Linked DNA regions of Saccharomyces cerevisiae S288C. Changing the gene in region 2 together with the main gene of any one other region gives a genetic interaction. Each region holds a gene or a part of one and is shown on either strand. Other genes may lie near its edges. The genes, in order: YHL048C-A and BIO4.

The links.
Region 1: mutations in BIO4 (region 2) and YHL048C-A together harm fitness more than expected from each alone (negative genetic interaction), as found in Saccharomyces cerevisiae (one large-scale study listed by BioGRID).

Annotation. Positions count from the first base shown.
Region 1 is NC_001140.6:2,310-12,919, reverse strand, and holds YHL048C-A (uncharacterized protein), read left to right. Parts: upstream 1-7,122; coding exon 7,123-7,257; downstream 7,258-10,610. Other genes in the region: PXP3 (Pxp3p), read right to left, coding at 71-418; seripauperin PAU13, read left to right, coding at 635-997; ARN2 (siderophore transporter), read left to right, coding at 2,707-4,569; COS8 (Cos8p), read right to left, coding at 5,374-6,519; YHL049C (uncharacterized protein), read left to right, coding at 8,379-9,194; YHL050C (uncharacterized protein), read left to right, coding at 9,609-10,249.
Region 2 is NC_001146.8:727,968-739,168, reverse strand, and holds BIO4 (dethiobiotin synthase), read left to right. Parts: upstream 1-5,099; coding exon 5,100-5,813; downstream 5,814-11,201. Other genes in the region: MNT4 (putative alpha-1,3-mannosyltransferase), read right to left, coding at 624-2,366; BIO3 (adenosylmethionine-8-amino-7-oxononanoate transaminase), read right to left, coding at 3,436-4,878; BIO5 (Bio5p), read left to right, coding at 5,866-7,551; HOL1 (Hol1p), read left to right, coding at 8,983-10,743.

The DNA.
Region 1 (10,610 bases), on a different chromosome or scaffold from region 2:
GCTTCTCAGCGGCCTACAATTACGTAATTGCGTCAATGAATTTCCTGAGAACGCTTAAAAACTACAAACTCTACAAATAAGCGACTCCCAATACACGTTTTCTATTTTTAATTAAACTATCAGGAGAGGGATAATATAGTATTACCTCTTCCATTGGAGGCTGTTTACAGCAAATTGAATATGGGCTTAAACATAAGAATCTGTACGAGGGTCCAAATCTAAAATTCGGATATTCTTTTTGACCGAAAACGGAAACTTCAAAGGCACGGAAAAGGGTTTTATAAGGCACTCTGGCACCCCTATAATAGGCATTCCCACATTCTGCGCATACGAATAGACAAAGGCCCCAGAAAACAATACCTTCGCATACGGAATCTATAAAGATGCATGCCTCGTTTAAAAACAATAACATCTTCATAGTGATAATCAAATTCTGTGAAAGATGAGATATGGAGAATATGCGAGGTACTAAATGAGCGTCTGTTAACGAATCGTTTAAGTAGTGATGACTGATGAAGGCATGGGTATAAATAGAGCTGCTTCAACTATATGCCTTTGAGAATATGTCTTTATTCCTTCCCTTCCTGTTAAGCTTATATCAGCACTAACAAACATAACAAACATAACAAATACAATGGTCAAACTAACTTCAATCGCCGCTGGTGTCGCTGCCATCGCTGCTACTGCTTCCGCAACCACCACTCTAGCTCAATCTGACGAAAGAGTCAACTTGGTTGAATTGGGTGTCTACGTCTCTGATATCAGAGCTCACTTGGCCCAATACTACATGTTCCAAGCCGCCCACCCAACTGAAACCTACCCGGTTGAAGTTGCTGAAGCCGTTTTCAACTACGGTGACTTCACCACCATGTTGACTGGTATTGCCCCAGACCAAGTGACCAGAATGATCACCGGTGTTCCATGGTACTCCAGCAGATTAAAGCCAGCCATCTCCAGTGCTCTATCCAAGGACGGTATCTACACTATCACAAACTAGAGACAAACGCCTTTACGAATGAAATTCCATAAAACTTAAAAAAACAAAAAAAAAAAAGCTTTTTTTTTTGATAGTATAAATAGTTGATTATATTAATGTATACCAGTATTATAAAACCTACTTGATTATTCATGCCGTTCTTATCAGAAGTATTTACTGTAGTGGTAAAATATAGTGCCTTGATAATCCAATAGTCTTGTCTGTCTAAAAGGCTTCAGTTGAATACCTTCTTTCGTACATGTTGCTATTTCAGGGTATCGGGCCGGAGCATTTACCATTTGCGGCGTAAATGCTAAAGTTAATAAATCTGAGTCTTCCTGTTTTATGAGTCAGATGGAGGTGTAACGCAAAGAGTAAGTTAATCACAGAAAAAGGTTAGTATCCATTACATATTTATGTTATAGAACATATATGCGTATAGAGACAGAAAAATTGTTTAATAATAAAATCACCCACGCTTGCGTAAGACGTCCTTGAAGTCTTAATTAGTCCAGCTATAGTTATTAGCTATACCAATTGAAGAACCAATCGGTCGAGCGTTTTATATATCAGTAGAAAGCAAGCCTCTTACGAACTTGAATTTGGTACTTCCATAACTACATAATCATTTAACCCTTGCTTTACACTTGCCCAAAACTCTTAATTTAAAGAAAATGATCAAGTCTTAGATCAAGAGATGGGATATATGTCAATGATCGAATCATGCTCGACTAGGAAATAAGTCTGTACCGCGTAGAATCCTTTACTGTTTGTTTGAGATGAGCTTTAAACTTGAATTCTCTATCCACTCAACTGGGTAACGCTACTGAATAACTTGAAAAATGAAAACATTCACCTCAAAAAGCGCAGCGCCCTTTCTATATAAATATTTCCATTGAAAAAAATGTATAAAGAAGCAAGAAGTATGATATATGGTTTATAGTCATTCACAGGCTGAATAAACTTATGCAGGGCGGTTGGACTCCCCTTGTCCAAAAGAAAAAAGCCTCGTTTTAGCATCTTTCTTTTTTTTTCATATATATTGAGTTGTCGACAACCTACCTAGCAATATTTTTCCTTGTTAATTTAAATTATGTGAGTCCAATGATCGTCTTTTATTAAATTCTAAAGGTTTCCCTCCCGTCCGGGATCATACGAAACTTTCCTGCAGATATTAAATTTCCCTGTCAGGCCGGGTTGTGTGCAATCCGTTCTCCCTCTACCTTTGCTATATACAAACACCCGGTATATAAGCACCTATCTCAAGCAAGCAATCAGAAAATGGGTGCAGTTCTTAGTTCACAGTAAGGAACAAAAAAAAAAGAATAACTTTGAGCGTCCGTAGGGCTCCGTGCTTTACCAGTATGTCGTATATATCTTTAGAAGCAAAGCTGTGGCTGAAGTGATGGGTCCTGTTATGCCAGTAACTTGCACCTGCTTTAAGAAAACGGAATATACTTTCAGAACGTAGTCCGTAACAACCCTACTGGAGTTTCTGTGCTCCGATTCCACAAATCTAAGACAGTTACTCACTAATCTGCACAGAAGCTGAAATGATACAGCTTTTCACTAAGGGCAAGTTAAGAAGATAACGTGGTGAATTTTACCCAGTAGCCTTTTTACACCTTACTTTTTTCTATAAAGACATGAGATCCTGGTAGAAGAACTTTGCTTGTGTCCTTTCCACTTGAGCTCCAAAAACAGTTGTAACTCTTTGGGCCAAAGGAAATATGATCGAAGTCCCAGAAGACAATCGTTCTAGCCAAACAAAGCGTAAGAATACTGAAAAAAATTGTAATGAACTGATGGTTGATGAAAAGATGGATGACGATTCGTCGCCCAGAGATGAAATGAAAGATAAATTAAAGGGAACAAAATCATTGATTATTCGTAAGTCTGAGCTAATGGCTAAAAAGTATGATACTTGGCAATTAAAAGCTATATTCCTGTTTTCTGCATTCATTTGCACTTTCGCTTATGGATTAGATAGCAGCATAAGGGGTACATATATGACCTACGCAATGAACTCGTACTCCGCACATTCTCTCATTTCTACAGTAAGCGTCATAGTTCTAATGATATCTGCTGTTTCACAGGTGATCTTTGGAGGGTTATCAGATATCTTTGGAAGGCTAACGTTGTTTCTTGTATCCATTGTACTTTACATTGTGGGTACAATAATTCAATCTCAAGCATATGATGTCCAGAGGTATGCTGCTGGAGCTGTCTTTTATTATGTGGGACTTGTCGGTGTTATGCTACAGGTTGTTTTGATGTTGTCTGATAATTCTTCATTAAAATGGAGGCTATTTTACACATTGATACCTTCATGGCCCTCGATTATCACTACGTGGGTCTCAGGTAGTGTAGTGGAGGCAGCAAACCCGTTAGAGAACTGGTCGTGGAATATTGCTATGTGGGCGTTCATTTTCCCTCTATGCTGTATCCCATTGATTTTGTGTATGCTCCATATGAGATGGAAAGTAAGAAATGACGTGGAATGGAAAGAATTACAGGATGAAAAATCGTACTATCAAACGCACGGATTAGTACAAATGCTGGTACAGTTGTTCTGGAAGCTAGATGTTGTCGGTGTGTTGTTGTTTACTGCTGGTGTTGGTTGTATTCTTGTACCACTCACTCTTGCTGGTGGCGTCTCTACAAATTGGAGAAATTCAAAGATTATCGGGCCCTTTGTGCTTGGCTTTGTCCTGGTTCCAGGCTTCATATATTGGGAAAGTCGACTTGCTTTGGTTCCTTTCGCTCCATTCAAGCTGCTAAAAGATCGTGGCGTGTGGGCCCCATTGGGAATTATGTTTTTTATCTGCTTTGTATATCAAATGGCTGCTGGGTATCTCTACACCATTCTAGTAGTTGCGGTAGATGAGAGCGCTTCCTCAGCTACAAGAATAATAAACTTATACTCTTTTGTGACTGCTGTTGTTGCTCCATTTCTGGGGCTCATCGTTACGAGATCATCTAGATTGAAGTCGTATATTATTTTTGGTGGCTCACTTTATTTCATTACTATGGGACTATTTTACCGCTACAGGTCAGGTCAAGACGCCGATGGAGGTATAATTGCTGGTATGGTTATTTGGGGTCTCAGTAGTTGTTTATTCGATTATCCTACAATTGTTTCTATTCAGTCGGTAACATCCCATGAGAATATGGCTACTGTCACAGCATTAAACTATACAGTTTTCAGAATAGGTGGAGCAGTTGCAGCTGCCATTTCCGGTGCCATATGGACGCAGTCATTGTACCCTAAATTATTGCACTACATGGGAGACGCTGACCTGGCTACAGCAGCATATGGCTCACCACTAACTTTTATTCTTTCCAATCCCTGGGGTACTCCAGTTAGGTCTGCGATGGTTGAAGCTTACAGACACGTTCAAAAATACGAAGTTATTGTTGCGCTTGTATTTTCAGCGCCTATGTTCCTTCTAACATTCTGCGTAAGAGATCCTCGGTTGACTGAAGATTTTGCCCAAAAGTTACCTGACAGAGAATATGTCCAAACCAAGGAAGATGATCCTATCAATGACTGGATCGCGAAACGTTTTGCAAAGGCCTTAGGCAGGTCATAAGAAAGATTTACAAAACCCCAACAGGATATGTGTTCGAAAAAATGATCTCTGATATGCGCAGTAATTTTTGTATGGTACATAAGATGAAGCAAGATAAGTGATAGTAATATTTGTTACCATGTATATGTTTAATGTGATAACACAAAAGCGTAATATGAGTAATGTTTCAGTAATGTTTCACACATAGAAAACATATAGTGGAAAACGTATTGTAGCAAACCTCTAATCCGGTAGTACTTGAGAAATTATAGCTTCTGTGTACAAAAACAGTACCTATGTAATTCTTACATTTACATAACATATATAAACTTACTACATTATGACATATAAGCTAAATCGTAATTTACTACGTCAACAATATGTCATAGTGTAGTGATATCATTTGCGATTATATCCTACAAAAAAAAAGCACTTATATGACCAAAAATGTATTATCTGGATTTTAAGTTACCGCTTTAATATATGATGTTCTAATGTGAAGCCTGTGTACATATTGATTAGTATGAAAACATTATTGAACTTTCATGTTAATGACACCATGGCAGTATTCTTACCCCAAGTAAAGTGTTTCAGTCTTATTGCTAAAGGGTAGAATATTTTTATATTTAGGTGATTTTAGTGGTTATTTTTCTATAACAAATATTGAAAATAAGTGTTTTTGAATTTAGTGGTTATTGTATGGTGTAAAGTGATAAAACATATGCGAAAAGGAGTATTAATAATAATAAACAAGTAAAATACGTTTTGACTTACTGATATTCGATCAACTACACATAGTATATTTTGGAAAAGGAACATTTGTTCCTACTTTAGGGGCTTCTCATTGCGGGCCGATTGCGCTTCTTTAATGTATGGCCATAGCTCAACGTTCAACGAAGCAAACCACATAGGTTTTTTTAAAGATAAGAGACGATAGAAAAAGCGCCTAAAAAACCATTCGCAGTCAAGTCCATCGTAGAAAAACTCTTCATTATTCCAGACTTTTTTCTCAAACAAATACCTATTCATTTTCTTTGCAATTTCGTCCCATCCATTCGCACCACTTTCTTGCTCATTTATAATAGTTGACAAGAACTGCATCTTGTGTTCCATTTTCACGGATAAAACAATCATCCTCATATTTTGGAAATCTCTCGTCATGATAAAAAACATTACTACCGGAAACAAGAAACGTGATATAAGGTCAGCATTTCCAGACGTGTAGACAATTAAAAAATAATAAAGGAAGAGTGGTAAACACCGCAGGTTGAAAATCCTTTTAAGAATCCAGGTAAGCTTAAATCGGTAAGCTTCTTTGGGGAGCTGAATGTCTTCCAGGTCGAAAGGACTCTCTTCCTTCTCAGTATTAAACAGCTTCCACTCTTTGTCAAATCCTGCAGCATACACTTGCAAGGCCTCTTCGATATAAGGAACGGAATCCTTAAATGACTTAACCTTTGCAGATTCGTCTTTTTTTAAAGAGAAGGGTTCGAGAAGGGTTGTTTTAAACGCTTTTTGGCAGCTCATGGCATTGAAAAAAAAGTACTTGGTATTCCAAGTCTTATTTTCATAGAAGTACGAATTTAGATTTGCTGCAACGACTTCCCAATCATGAGGATCCGAACTTGGTGTGTCTTCAGTAATCTCTTTGCAAAACTGAATGAGTTGTTTCGATAAGGAACGCTTACGAGAAAGTCCACAAATAACAAGGACAAAAAATGGTCCCAGGAACAGGACAAGAAGTGAAACTATAAGTGGGTGAATCCAATTGCTGGAAAGTTTCCACCAGACGCTAAGTGGTAGCCATAACAGCATCCAGATGCGAAACGCTAAAGACTTGTAAATTTCATAACAAAACCAGGTCAATTCGTTTCGGAAAACATCTTGAGGTAGAACGGTCTTTTGGAATTCGAGCTGTTTGAAGGATAACACATCTACGCTTTTCTCATCTTTGACTTCATTCTCTTTCATTTTCGGTAGTGAGATGGCAGTTCGAGGGGTTTTTTATTCGAAATAGTAACTTCTGACTTTTCGCTTTTATACAGCACAGCAGAAAAAAAAAGCCGCCGAGGCGCGCGCGTTCATGCAATGGCTCAGTAACCTCGTGATAGAAAAAGGGAAACAATATTGGGCTATTTTAGGCAAAGAAACTCAGCTATTCGAAAAGGGCATCCATTTCATTTCCGGTTTTCTATCTAGCCAACTCGATAATCGTAATAACGAATTTACAAAACTTTAATGCGGGTGCATCACGGTGTGCCGTAACTTTGGTTTACATTTAAGGTGCGACCAGCAATGTCACTGCTCGTACAGCGGTTACCGCTTGAATGAAATACATATTTTAAGCGTAGATTTCCTGTGACAAAACTGTGTAAACATCTAGTAGAAAATAGACGTAGCTGTCACAAATATTTACACAGGAAAGAGTCCGTCCTACGTATCTGACATGAAGATTCATAGAACCAAGTTACTTACAAATGTGGACAACCTTTCAATACCATTTTTTATCCTTATGCTTGGTGTCACTGTAAAATTGATCAAGGCAAAACCTAGAGGTACGGTGGTGCTCAGATCATGCATGACATCTGGGTAATCACCACTTCTCCCGCTTGCTTTGAGATTCTGTATAAATATTGCAAACAAAAGGGTAGAGCACGGATGGGAGGCCTTATAGTAAAAATTATTCGTTTTAATCATGCGTCAGTGTGAGATTCTATGACAATAGTATGAGAAGATAGGGTGAAGTAAAAGCGTCTGTATGACTATAGAGTACAGTTATATTACAATATATGGAATAGAGCATAGTGGTATGACGGTATTAAGGAACATTTAAGTTAATGACGTCATGGTGGTATTGATACGCAATTGAGTGTGTTTATGTACTATGGTTGAAGGATAGAATATTTTTATGTTTAGGTGATTTTAGTGGTGATTTTTTTGTAATATTGGCATAAGTGTATATAAATTGAGTGGTTAGTATACGGTGAAAAAGAGGTATAACGTATGTATTAAGAGCAGTTATACAATATTTGGGGCCGCCGAATGAGATATAGATATTAAAATGTGGATAATCGTGGGCGTTATGGGTAAATGGCACAGGGTATAGACCGCTGAGGCAAGTGCCGTGCATAATGATGTGGGTGCATTTAGTACTGATTTAGTGAGAGATGGGTCATGGAGTGGAGTAGAATGTGAAAGTAGGGTAAGTTGAGAGTGGTATATACTGTAGCATCCGTGTGCGTATGCCGTACCAGTATACAAGTGCAAGTGAGTGTGGCATGTGGTGTGTGTGGGTAAGTACGTGTGTATTATTTACGATCATTTGTCAACGTTTCAACATGGTGGGTGGGACATGGAGCATTAGGAAGTGACTTGGTACGCCAAAAAGGGCTCCTCTACCTCAGCGGGGTAATAAAATTTATCCACGAAGCGGCTGAGCAACGAACAGAATCCTGGTTCTCCTCGACTAAGCAGACGGTTAAGATACTGTGCACCATGGAAATTGAAAACGAAAGCACGTACCGACTGCTTTATTTTTGCAGGCCGGAAATCAAGCGATGAATGAGACATCCTTCTGTTTTCTATGTTGGGACAGACAGTCGCTTATCTTAGTGAGATTTCTTATTAACTGAATTTTCTTTGCTGCTGCTGGAGATTTGCACCTGCATAGCGCAGATTCTGCTTCTTCTCAATAGAGTAGCTTAATTATTACATTCTTAGATGATGATAAGACGGAAACTGGACAATCTTTTGTTTATATTGATGGATTTCTTGTCAAAAAGCATAACAATCAACATACTATTGTTAATTTCGAAACTTACAAAAATAAAATGAAAGTTTCCGATAGGCGTAAGTTTGAAAAAGCAAACTTTGACGAGTTTGAGTCGGCTCTAAATAACAAAAACGACTTGGTACATTGTCCCTCAATAACTTTATTTGAATCGATCCCCACGGAAGTGCGGTCATTCTACGAAGACGAAAAGTCTGGCCTAATCAAAGTGGTAAAATTCAGAACTGGTGCAATGGATAGGAAAAGGTCTTTTGAAAAAATTGTCGTTTCCGTCATGGTCGGGAAAAATGTACAAAAGTTCCTGACGTTTGTTGAAGACGAACCAGATTTCCAGGGCGGACCAATCCCTTCAAAGTATCTTATTCCCAAGAAAATCAACTTGATGGTCTACACGTTGTTTCAAGTGCATACTTTGAAATTCAATAGAAAGGATTACGATACCCTTTCTCTTTTTTACCTCAACAGAGGATACTATAATGAGTTGAGTTTCCGTGTCCTGGAACGTTGTCACGAAATAGCGAGTGCCAGGCCGAACGACAGCTCTACGATGCGTACTTTCACTGACTTTGTTTCTGGCGCACCTATTGTAAGGAGTCTTCAGAAAAGCACCATAAGGAAATATGGGTACAATTTGGCACCCCACATGTTTTTGTTACTACACGTAGATGAGCTATCGATTTTTTCTGCATACCAAGCAAGTTTACCTGGCGAAAAGAAAGTCGACACAGAGCGGCTGAAGCGTGATCTATGCCCACGTAAACCCACTGAGATAAAGTACTTTTCACAGATATGTAACGATATGATGAACAAAAAGGACCGATTGGGTGATGTTTTGCATGTGTGCTGCCCAAGTTGAGAAGAGATACTAACAAAATGACCGCGGCTCTCAAAAATAATTGACGAGCTTACGGTGATACGCTTACCGTTATCCAGAGCTACAGCGCAACGTATACGTCGACGATACAACAAGAACGGTTCATCGGAGCCTCGACTAAAGACGCTTGACGGACTCACTTCCGAGCGCTGGATTCAATGGTTAGGCCTTGAAAGCGACTACCATTGTTCATTCTCTAGTACTCGGAATGCGGAAGACGTAGTGGCAGGTGAGGCGGCGAGTTCAGATCATGATCAAAAAATTTCAAGAGTAACGCGAAAAAGGCCCCGAGAGCCCAAGAGTACAAACGATATCCTCGTCGCAGGCCAGAAACTCTTTGGCAGCTCCTTTGAATTCAGGGACTTGCATCAGTTGCGCTTATGTCATGAAATATACATGGCAGACACACCCTCTGTGGCAGTACAGGCCCCACCGGGCTATGGTAAGACGGAGTTATTTCATCTCCCCTTGATAGCACTGGCGTCTAAGGGCGACGTGGAATATGTGTCGTTTCTGTTTGTACCGTACACAGTGTTGCTTGCTAATTGCATGATCAGGTTGGGCCGATGCGGTTGCTTGAATGTGGCCCCTGTAAGAAACTTTATTGAAGAAGGTTGCGATGGCGTTACTGATTTATACGTGGGGATCTACGATGATCTTGCTAGCACTAATTTCACAGACAGGATAGCTGCGTGGGAGAATATTGTTGAGTGCACCTTTAGGACCAACAACGTAAAATTGGGTTACCTCATTGTAGATGAGTTGCACAACTTTGAAACGGAGGTCTACCGGCAGTCGCAATTTGGGGGCATAACTAACCTTGATTTTGACGCTTTTGAGAAAGCAATCTTTTTGAGCGGCACAGCCCCTGAGGCTGTTGCTGATGCTGCGTTGCAGCGTATTGGGCTTACGGGACTGGCCAAGAAGTCGATGGACATCAACGAGCTCAAACGGTCGGAAGATCTCAGCAGAGGTCTATCCAGCTATCCAACACGGATGTTTAATCTAATCAAGGAGAAATCCAAGGTGCCTTTAGGGCATGTTCATAAAATTCGGAAGAAAGTGGAATCACAGCCCGAAGAAGCACTGAAGCTTCTTTTAGCCCTCTTTGAAAGTGAACCAGAGTCGAAGGCCATTGTAGTTGCAAGCACAACCAACGAAGTGGAAGAATTGGCCTGCTCTTGGAGAAAGTATTTTAGGGTGGTATGGATACACGGGAAGCTGGGTGCTGCAGAAAAGGTGTCTCGCACAAAGGAGTTTGTCACTGACGGTAGCATGCGAGTTCTCATCGGAACAAAATTAGTGACTGAAGGAATTGACATTAAGCAATTGATGATGGTGATCATGCTTGATAATAGACTTAATATTATTGAGCTCATTCAAGGCGTAGGGAGACTA
Region 2 (11,201 bases):
GCTTGTAAGGAAAATTTCCCTGTGCTAATAGCGGAACTGGGTACTGAGCACTTTTTATGCACGTGCATCGTACAATTACTCGCTTGGAGCCAATGCACTAAACATTCTTATAATTCTAGGCGAAAATGTGTTGTAGTAGTTTTACGTGCGGGAAACTTACTTCATGCGATATACTTATTTGTTTAAAACAGATATGGTATTTTGTTAGTTTTTGATTCAGGCGCTACTGATGATTTGTGCAAGGGTCCAGAGAAAAATGCATGTGTCAGTGTTCTAAGCCAAGTATATATGATTACCGGTAAAATTCTACGCCAATATTCGTCTTTTACTGAAGAAAAGTATTGTTGGCATTCCTACTTTATTTTAAAGTTTTCTTGAGGCAAAATGAAGAAAGAGCTAAGGCTCTTTTTATGAGCGAATTTCACATAATGTTAACTAAATATAAATGCGGGAATAACATTGTGCCAAGAGGAACTTAAATAAGGATATCTCAAAAACAGCCTAGTTCCGTAGGAAAGATGCCGTTTGAAAACGATGTCAAGAAGGGTTTAACATGCTTTATAGAAAAATCTAAAAGTTTAAAAACTTATAGGAAATTCACCGTACTCATACTGAAACATACTCTATACAACCTTGTTCCATAATTCTACAACTTTCTCGTAATATTTCTTTTGAGAATCTGTAAACTCTATCAATTTTCCGTACTGTCCCTTCCTATAATGTGTGCAATAGCTGTACATAACGCATTCGCTCTGTTGCGACCAGGGGGACTTGCTGACATCGGGTATTATGACAGCTTCGAGTTTCACAGGTGATTGATAGTAATTCCGTAATTCATCAACGCTTTTGTATTTGGCCGCAATCTCTTTACGCTTTGTAAAATCATAATTCCAACAATTTTTTTTGCAAACGGATAATCCGCCATTCAACCACAAAAGATTACCGTACACGTCCGTGTGAGATAGCTGGGTAGAACAGATTGTACTGCTTTCTAGAGTCTCCGGCTTCTCTAATCTTCCTACATTCGAAGCCTCTATTGGATAAAAAGTAAACTCTTTTTTGGAAATAAACAAACTAAGCCAAAACCATTCCTTATCACCATGGAAAAACTCTTGGATAGGCGAAAATTGCAGCATTATTGCGATTGGTAGACAGAAAAAGTGTTTTTGTTTATCGAATATCACTAAGCCGCTGTCCATGTAATGTTTTTGTTTCTTGAAAATCAAGGCCTCTATTGCATCAATTGCCATCTCATCGTTTAGGTTATGTTTTAAGATTTCAAAACCTTGCTCCGAATCCGAGGATACATCCAGACTATTATTGATTATCTGCTTCAAAACTTTAACTTGGAGTGGACTTAACTTGGAGGTTGGAAAACTCCTGTCTTTGAAAAACAGTGTACCTGTTCTTTTAAATCCGTCAATTTCATAGAGTGTATCCAACGGGACAAAAGGTACAGTATCAGAGTCCAAAAAGATTGGTATTTGAAATGAACAAAAGGTAATTGCCAGCCACTTATTCGAAAATCTCTTGAATCTCGCTAAATATTCGTCATTTAACATGTCTTTCACATCCAGAAACCACAATTCCTGAGGGGGATAATTTAAGGATCCAGATTCTCTTGCTGCTGCTATCAAGAGCTGTTGAGAACTCTCATGTAAATCCGATTTGTGAACGATTTCAATTGGAAGGGAATTATTTAACAGCCGCAAAACTCTTATTAGTCGAATTGTATCAGCCACCAGATATTCCGATACGCTCATTACCACACCTTTTGAATTCCTTTGAAGAGCTGAATTCAACCAGTTCTCCCAAAAAGGTTCGCTAGCCTTGAATTCAATGGGTGAAGTTCCAATGAACGAATTGTTCTCAGAAGAAAATTGTAATACCTGTCCACGGTACTTTGTTCCATCAAATCGGGTATGAACAGGCCAAAAATTATGAGATTGTTCACTATTTAGGGCTGTGAAGTTTATATATGGGAACAACTTGGTTTCTATGCTATGAAGAAGGGAAATATCCTGATCAGCACGGATTTCTTTTGAGCATTTTTGATACAAATCCAAATTGGATAGCGATCGGGACACAGTTTTCACATCCTTGCGACTCCTGGTCACGTAAGATATAAAAGATTTCCATCTATTCGGTTCATAGAATTTACTTGTCAATTCCGGCTTTTCATATTCCTCTATTTGACGCAGTCTAGAAAAGCAGTGCACGTTGCCAGAGCGATCATCTTCTCTGCGTGTTTCGAAATGGTCGGAGAATGGATACTGTCGGTAGACCCTAAAAAGAACAATGAGAGACAACAATGATGTGAAGATCAATGGTGCCAGTTTCTTAATTCTTCGTATGCGCAATACCATTTTTTGCAGAGTACGTTTTTAAAGATGGCACTTTTACCTTAACACAAGGGACTCAATTTCATGTTAACAAATTTCATCTTTTCCAAGTGTTACATAGCACTACCGATCCTTTCCTAGGTAACGAAACCATGATAAACTAGTGCTGCTGCTTTAAACAAAGAGGCGCAATGTTTACCTTCAGAAGAGAGGTCATACAATTACTTGGAGGGTAACATTACTAATTTTGCAGAGATTGCAACATAGGTGATCTTATATGTTGAAATAAAAACTACTGCTGATATTGCTTGCTTTGATAATAACAATATTCGAGGGAAAATACTGCCCATGCTACTTCAGTGTGATGGCAAAGCGTTTTCTCATCTAGGAGAGCAACGGTTTGATCCCCGTGAAAAGCCTGGGCCCAGTACATCTTGTAAGATCTTACACAATATTAAGTTATATAGACATCGTTTACTACATTCAAGGTCTTGTGAATAGTTACTGCGGATAGGTTAATAGAGGAAGATATAGTGCAAAATTTCAAGTAGCGGAAGATAATCAAATGCTGAAGGAAATTTACAGGTTTGCCTCAATAATAATCTTGACTCTGCCGGAAAAATTTACCAGAGGGTTCAAAGGTATGAGTTGTACGACCCGGTTCAACAGTAGTTGCTTGAAGAGTAAGCTGAGCCTATAATATCCCATCTTTTCCGTTCTTCTCATAATAAATAAAAGATAGGATCGTGAGATGTGTCAGCTGCTGAGGAGTGTAACTAGCGCTAATGGGAGAACATAGAAGAGAGTACCGTGATGGCACAGAAGGCGGGTAGGCGACCACGGACCATTTCGGTCCAGATTTCTCAACTCGTACTTCCTGTGATACGTTCTTGCCCTGAACTAGTCAATTTTCTCTTGTGCAGCAGGCTTCGACATAGTTTTATGATAAGAAAAGTAAGATATAAAGGTCCGCTAGAATAAATAACCATAAATTTTTTATTTTGAGTTATATCAATATAAATAATAGCGTAAAAGAATGCATTTTACGCAAGAAATAAGAATTCCTTGGCAAATGACTTGATGAGATCGTATATCATTGGTTTATGTGGGATTTCCACTCATGTAATACTTCAATCAAGACTTGATTAACCTTCGTCAATTCCTCTGTCGTGATCACATATGGTGGCATAATGTAACACAGGCAGTTGAAAGGTCGGATATGTACTCCCTTGGATATAAACTTTTTCTGGAACCACTCGGGATCTGTCTTCTTGTATAGCTCTACGATACCTACAGCTCCAATAACTGACACACGCTTAACAACAGTTCCAATGAGCCCATTATCTGGGTTCTTGATGTACTGGTATAGTTCTCTATAAATTTGGTTTTCAATTGCAGACACTTGTTTTCTCCACTCGCCACGCAGTAGTATATCCATAGACTTTTCTGCCACACTGCATGCCAGGGCATTGCCCATGAAGGTGGGGCCATGCATGAAGCAGCCACCAGTAGGGCTATTTGGAGAAGAGATTCTGGAAGCAACTTTGTCGTTGACTACCACTGCACTCATAGTCATATATCCACTGGTTAAGCCCTTCCCAACGCACAATATGTCAGGAACAACTTTGATCTGATCGGAAGGACTGATGCCATGTTGGTCCTGGTATTTTTGACAGTGCTTGAATGCGAAAATCTCACCTGTTCTACCAAATCCTGTAGCAATCTCGTCCATGATGAATAAAACGTCGTATTGGTTACATAGTTTCTGAACTTCGATTAAGAACTGTGGATGGTATGGTCGCAAACCTCCTGCACCCTGTAAGATAGGCTCCAAAATCACAGCACAGATCTTATCACTATGCAATTCAAATTGCTTCTTGAGATCGGTAACTTCTTCTGCATTCCAATGGTCCTCGAAACCGTTCTGGCTGGTTGGAAGGCCATCGACAATAGAGGGAGCTTGGGCGAAGATGTTCTCACTGAGTCGATCGTTGTAGATATGATGCATAGAATTCTCAGGATCACAAACACTCATAGCGCCAAATGTATCACCATGATACCCGTTCTTGATTGTCAAAAACTTTGTTCTATTTTTAGTAGCTTCCCCTGACATGTTTGATTGTAAAGCCATCTTCAAAGCTACTTCCACTGCTACTGAGCCAGAATCTGCGAGGAAACAGTACTGCAAAGAGGGTTCATCAATCACTTTTAAAAGTTTTTGGACTAGATTCACAGCTCCTTTATGGGTGAATCCACCAAGAAGGACGTGAGAAAACTTTAACATCTGCTTGGTAAGGGCCTCATTTAGTTCTGGATTATTGTACCCGTGAATAACACACCACCACGACGACATGGCGTCGATCACCTCGACGTCCACTGGTGAGTCGGTATCCAACACCAGCTTGCATCCGTGAGCACTCTTTACCGGATAAACGTTCAATGGTGAACTCAATGACGTATAAGGATGCCAAATATGTTTTTTATCAAAGTCTAGCAGTTCCGCGACATCTGGTGTATATGAAATTTCTTGGGACATTAGTTGTTATCCTAGCAATAGAAAACGAATTGCGCTGTTGACATCCTCCCGACCAAAAGAAAATGAAATATACAAACAATGGCTATTTATAATTCAAAATTATTGGGCAAAACAAAATAAAATCCCGCTGGTAGTTCGTTTACTGAAGTATATAAAGAGATATACTTTTTTCCACAAGTAGGCCAGTGAAAAGAACTCAAAAAATCACTAGCGCACAGGTCATGAACAGCAAATCTCAACAACAAGAACAACAACCAATTGTATTCGTCACCGGTACAGACACTGATGTTGGTAAAACCTTTGTATCAACATTATTGGTACACAAATGGAAAGCTGCATACTGGAAACCCGTACAAACTGGAATTGAGTCAGATCAAGGTGACTCCGAGACATTGAAAAATTTCAAAATAGCCGCATCAACTTGGCAACCACCTATATTCACGCCCACTTATGCGCTGCAGAAGCCTCTATCTCCGCTCCAGGCCATGGAGTACGAACCTAATGTCGACATCAGGTTGTTGGATTTCGTAGTTCCTGAAGAGTGGAGCGCAGAGAATCCATTGGTCGTAGAAGGAGCCGGCGGGGTTTGCGTTCCTATCACTCGTAAATTGGAAATTACGACGGATCTAATTAAACATCTGATTGAGACTAGCGGCCATCCAGTGTACGTAGTTGTCGTGGCACGCAGCGGGCTAGGGACTCTGAATCATACATTGCTGACTTGGAATCATCTTTGCGATAATGGCTTGAGAAGCCACCTTTTTGGGGTCATTCTCAATGGGGAACCGAATGAAGGCAACGTGCAGGCCCTGAAGAAGTTCGGTGTCAATATTATGGCACAGGTTGCACAATGTACTACGGCACATGATCAGGATATGGAGTTGCATGAACTGCCATCGGTGGAGTCATTAATGACCCAACAAGACGTAGAATAGTTTAAATAAAAAAGTTGCAAGGCTTTCATCAGCTATATATAAGTAGCATGGTATGAACAGAGTAGGGGCAGTGTTCCTATTTGTATATGAAAGAAATTTTTTTTTGTCTATTGTTCCAGATCGTCACAGGACGGAAATAAGAATGTCTAGTTCAGAAAGGTCAGAAGTCAAGTTTGACAAGCACTTTAATTGGTGGTCCCTATTAGGTATCGCGTTCTCATTAAGTTGCTCATGGGTCGGTATCTCAGCGTCGATGGCCGTTGGTATTGCCAGTGGAGGGCCACTGCTTATCATCTATGGGTTGATAATTGCTGCTTTTTTCAGTCTCATGTGTGGTATATCTCTGGGAGATTTTGCTGCTATCCTGCCAAACAGCAGCGGTGGTTCATTTTGGGTTCTTAAAATGTTGGAACAAGAATCAGTCACTTTGAAAACCCCTGAGTACGAGGACCCTTCTGACGATGATGAAGAAGTGTTCCTCGAGAATTATTGTCAAACTTTCAACGTGGAAGTTTCTTCTAAATTTCAAAAGGTTTCTTCCATGGTTGTAGGGTTGCTGAACTATTTCGGTGCCATTTTTACTACCGCAAGTATCTGCTCATCTTTGTCAATGAGCTGTATCGGTATTCATAAGTTGTTGCATCCGGACTACGAGTTAAAGCACTGGCATGTTTTTGTGGGTTACGAGTGTATCAATGCCGTTTTGACACTTTTCAACATTTATTCAACTCCGTTGCCCTATATCTCTCAGTTTGGGCTCTATACGTCTCTATTGTCTTTCGCCATGACTTTCATTATTTGTATTGTTTCAAGATCTGACAACACCGTAGACCCATGGCCCAAAGCTTCTAATATATTTGGGAGCTTTGATAATCAAACAGGCTGGAATTCGTCTGGAATGGCGTTTGTTGTCGGTTTGGTCAATCCGATCTGGGCATTTGTTGGCATTGACTCTGCTACGCACATGATTGATGAAGTGGGTTATAGTAAGTCACGTTTCTTAGTTCCCAAAGTTATTATCACTACCATCATTGTGGGCTTTGTAACTAGTTTTATTTATTGCGTTGGTTTGTTTTTCTGCATCACTGACCAAACGGCAGTCGTTGAGTCTATTTTACCTATCGTAGAAATATTTTACCAGGCCACTGGTAATAGGAATCTCAGTGTCTTCCTGCAATGTATGTGTATCACAACAGGTTTTGTTTCAGGCATTGCAAGTGGAACCTGGCAAAGTCGAATCCTCCAATCATTCGGGAAAAGTTACGCACCATTTTATAAAGAGGGTTCCTTGGGAAACAAATCCTTGAAGAAGCTAGCAGTGTTGACACCTGGGTTTAAGTCTCCATTATATGCCCATTTTTTGTCACAAATATGTGTAACGATAATTGGCTGTATATTTATGGGATCTAGTACCGCTTTCAACGCAATTATCACTGCATGCATCACCCTGTTACTAATGTCGTACGCAGTTCCTTCTTTTATATTCCTGTTCGTTATTAAAAAGGAAAAATTCATTCATAGAATCGAGAGTGACGTAAATTGTGTCAGCAGGCCTAACCGTCGTCGTATGTCTATGATTCCTCATATTATATGTATTCTATGGACCTTGTTCTGCCTGGTATTTTTATCTTTCCCATATACACTACCGGTTACTGCAGGAAACATGAATTACACCTCAGTAGTGTATGCAGTAGTTTTCTGCATTATCAGCATCGTTGTTTTCCCTACATGCATCTAAGATGCTGTTGAAAGAAAAACAGTCCTTATAAATTCCTAGGTCGATACTACCTTTTGTAGCTCTATCGTCAGAACTTCTGCCCTCCTGTATCATAGTTTCATAAAATAATTGTATATTTATTACCAGAAGTACCCTTGTATTACAAAACTAATCGCACACCACAAAGAGTAAAAGTAGGTACCATAGCAGCAGCGCTTAACCTATTCTCCGTCAGTATGAATGAAATATGTGGATTTCGATTACGATTCATTATAAGATCAGAACACATAAAGCCATTTTACTGAGCTATCTCAACTGCACAAACCATAACAAGTAAAAACTAGCTAGTGTAATTAGGAGATTATCGAAAGTCCTGGTCAAGCAGCAAGTTGGGCGAAAGTGTATTTTTGGTCCTTAAATAGTCCCGATTATGGGAAAATTACAAGTCATGACAAAATTTATTTTATAGGTGCACAAAATAGTCTGTAGATATTTTAATATCAAAAGAAAAAAGACGTATTCGCATGATAGTATATACCAAAGAAGAACGATTCAGAGAATGAATGTGGACAAGTTTTTTTGAGGAAAATGAAAACTAGAAAATCAAGGATATTGAGTACTTAGTCATTTTTTTCATTTTTTTCTTCGAGAAAATTTCTTTTTCATTACTTACTTATTTTTGCCAAGACATTTTTTTATCTTTTAAAATATATTCAAATAGTTCTTCTCTGAACAGAATTTTTCTCTCTTATGATGTACAATTACTTTCTTAAGTCACATATAATACCACACAATGCAAAAATTTCATGCATCAGCTCTCTAAGCTTTGAGAAATGTGTAGTTTGACGTTTACATCAAGGCCTGGTTGTGTCATATGAAATTCTACGGATATTTTTAGGGAGCTTTCGCCTAGCGAGAACAAAAGCATAACAAAAAAAGTTGCAGTTGATGAAAATTTTCTTTTTAGGATAAAGTTATTTTCCAGACAGAAAATTAAACTAAAGACCTCGCCGTTAACAAACCATAGTAGTTTAGACTATTTCCTAACCTTTCTATAGATTCATTTAATTGTCTATTGTCTTCAATCTAAACGATAAAGATAAATACGCAGTCGAATAAGAAAGAATTATCTGTATCAGTCTCTGAGGTAATATTTACTGAACCTCCTCTGCAAAAATAAAACAAGCCCATTTTGTTGTCGAAAGCGCTAGCATCCTTAATTTTACGATACTATTTCATGCTATTACTACCAAGTTGACATCCCTTATTATCTTATTTATTTGAAACTAGAAGAATAGCAAGTAAACACTAAATCCGAAAGAATCGAAGTATCATATTACAATCTACAGGATATAACAAAACAGCTTCGCAACTTTTGCATTTCTAACGAATATAAAGAAAAGAACTACTATAGAAGAAAGTTTGCGAGTGTGAATCTTAAATTTTTAACAGATGGACAAATATACCAACAGGGATCATCCGGACTATATTCCTGGCACATTTAACATCTATTCTTCCCAAAATTTGGAAAATGGTATTATATACGAATCAAAATTGAAGAAAACCTCCTCAGGAGTCGTCCTAATCCCTCAACCATCATACTCGCCAAATGATCCACTGAACTGGTCTAGCTGGAGGAAATTGGCTCATTTTGGTCTAATGGCCTTTATAACTGCGTTTACCGCCGCTACTAGTAACGACGCTGGTGCTGCTCAAGACTCATTGAATGAGATTTATGGGATATCCTACGATTCCATGAACACAGGGGCTGGTGTTCTTTTCCTAGGTATTGGTTGGTCCACTTTATTCTTGGCTCCATTTGCTAACTTGTATGGCAGGAAGATTACGTACATAGTTTGCACCACATTAGGTCTCTTTGGTGCGCTTTGGTTTGCTTTGGCCAAAAGAACGAGCGACACAATATGGTCTCAGTTGTTTGTAGGTATTAGTGAGTCCTGTGCTGAAGCCCAGGTGCAACTGTCCCTGAGCGACATTTTTTTCCAGCACCAATTGGGCTCCGTATTGACCGTGTATATCATGTGCACTAGTATCGGTACGTTCTTGGGCCCATTGATCGCTGGGTACATATCTGCATTTACCAACTTCCGTTGGGTCGGTTGGGTCGCAGTGATCATATCTGGTGGCCTTTTAATAACTATTATATTTGGCTGCGAAGAAACGTACTTCGACAGAGGCCAGTATATGACCCCTTTGACCAGCTGTCAATCGGGATACGAAGACGGTACCACTTTACAAAACTCTGACAATACGGCCGTGTCGCGCAGGAAACGTCATCTTGACGCTAAATTATCAACTCCTGGAGCCATGGGTGAGAAAGGTGTAGACCTTTCAGAGACGGCTGAATTCGAAGTTAACAATGAAGAGGAAGTTACCATACCTGAGACTCGCGAATTGATTGATGGTTCAAAAGAGCATTTGAAACCATACCCAAAAAGAGTAGCAATATTAACCAAAGCTACTAATTTGAAAGGCTACGGTTTTAAACAGTATTTCAAATATCTAAAGATCAACCTTAGAATGTTCTTATTCCCGCCAGTGTGGTTGTCTGGTATGTTTTGGGGTATTCAAGACGTTTTCCTGACGTTTTATTTGACCACTCAAGAAAGCGCCTACTACGAACCTCCATGGAACTATAGTGATTTTGGTGTCGCAATTATGAATGTTCCCACACTTATTGGAGCAGTCATCGGTTGTATCTGTGCTGGCATTGTTAGTGACTACTTTGTTCTTTGGATGGCTCGTCACAATAGAGGAATTTTAGAGGCAGAATTTAGACTATACTTCTCTATCGCAACTGCAATTATTGGGCCAGCGGGTTTGCTGATGTTTGGTATCGGTACCGCTAGACAATGGCCTTGGCAAGCTATATACGTCGGGTTGGGTTTTGTTGGGTTTGCATGGGGTTGTTCTGGTGATATTGCGATGGCGTATTTAATGGATTGTTACCCCGATATGGTTTTGGAAGGTATGGTTTGTACTGCTATTATTAACAACACGATATCTTGCATTTTCACCTTTACCTGTTCTGATTGGCTAGCTGCATCTGGTACTGAAAATACTTACATTGCTTTAGCTGTCATCAACTTTGGGATTACTGCATTTGCTTTACCAATGTACTACTATGGTAAGAGGATAAGACTTTGGACTAAGAGATGGTATTTGCAATCTGTCAATTTGAGAGACGGTGTGTAATTCAGAGACGTCTTTCTTGTATCTAGTAGATGATAGGAATTAAGTATTTTTTTTTTACCTAACTAGGATTATAATTGCAACAACAAAAGCGCCCTTCGTGAAACACGTGGGATACCGGTTAGGTAATATTACAGTTTCCTTACACACTTACTAAATACGCAACAGAGCATGTTATTAATCGTATATTTAAGTAATAATAACGTATTGACCATTCCTAAGACTGAAGCAGTACCAAGAAATGGCACTTTTTGTTTATATGACATAGTAAAAGTGTTCATTTGGCAGAAAACAAGGGTATCTGGATACTGCAATCCTCATTAGTTGCGGAGAGCTTTTTTAAAGTTTTATTACTTCGATAATGCTTTCCTCCAGAACTGGGCGCGCACTGAAGCCATAAACTGAGTGGTTGTCCCTGTGTATATTCTACAATCGCCTATTTGAAACTTCTGGGTGATAAT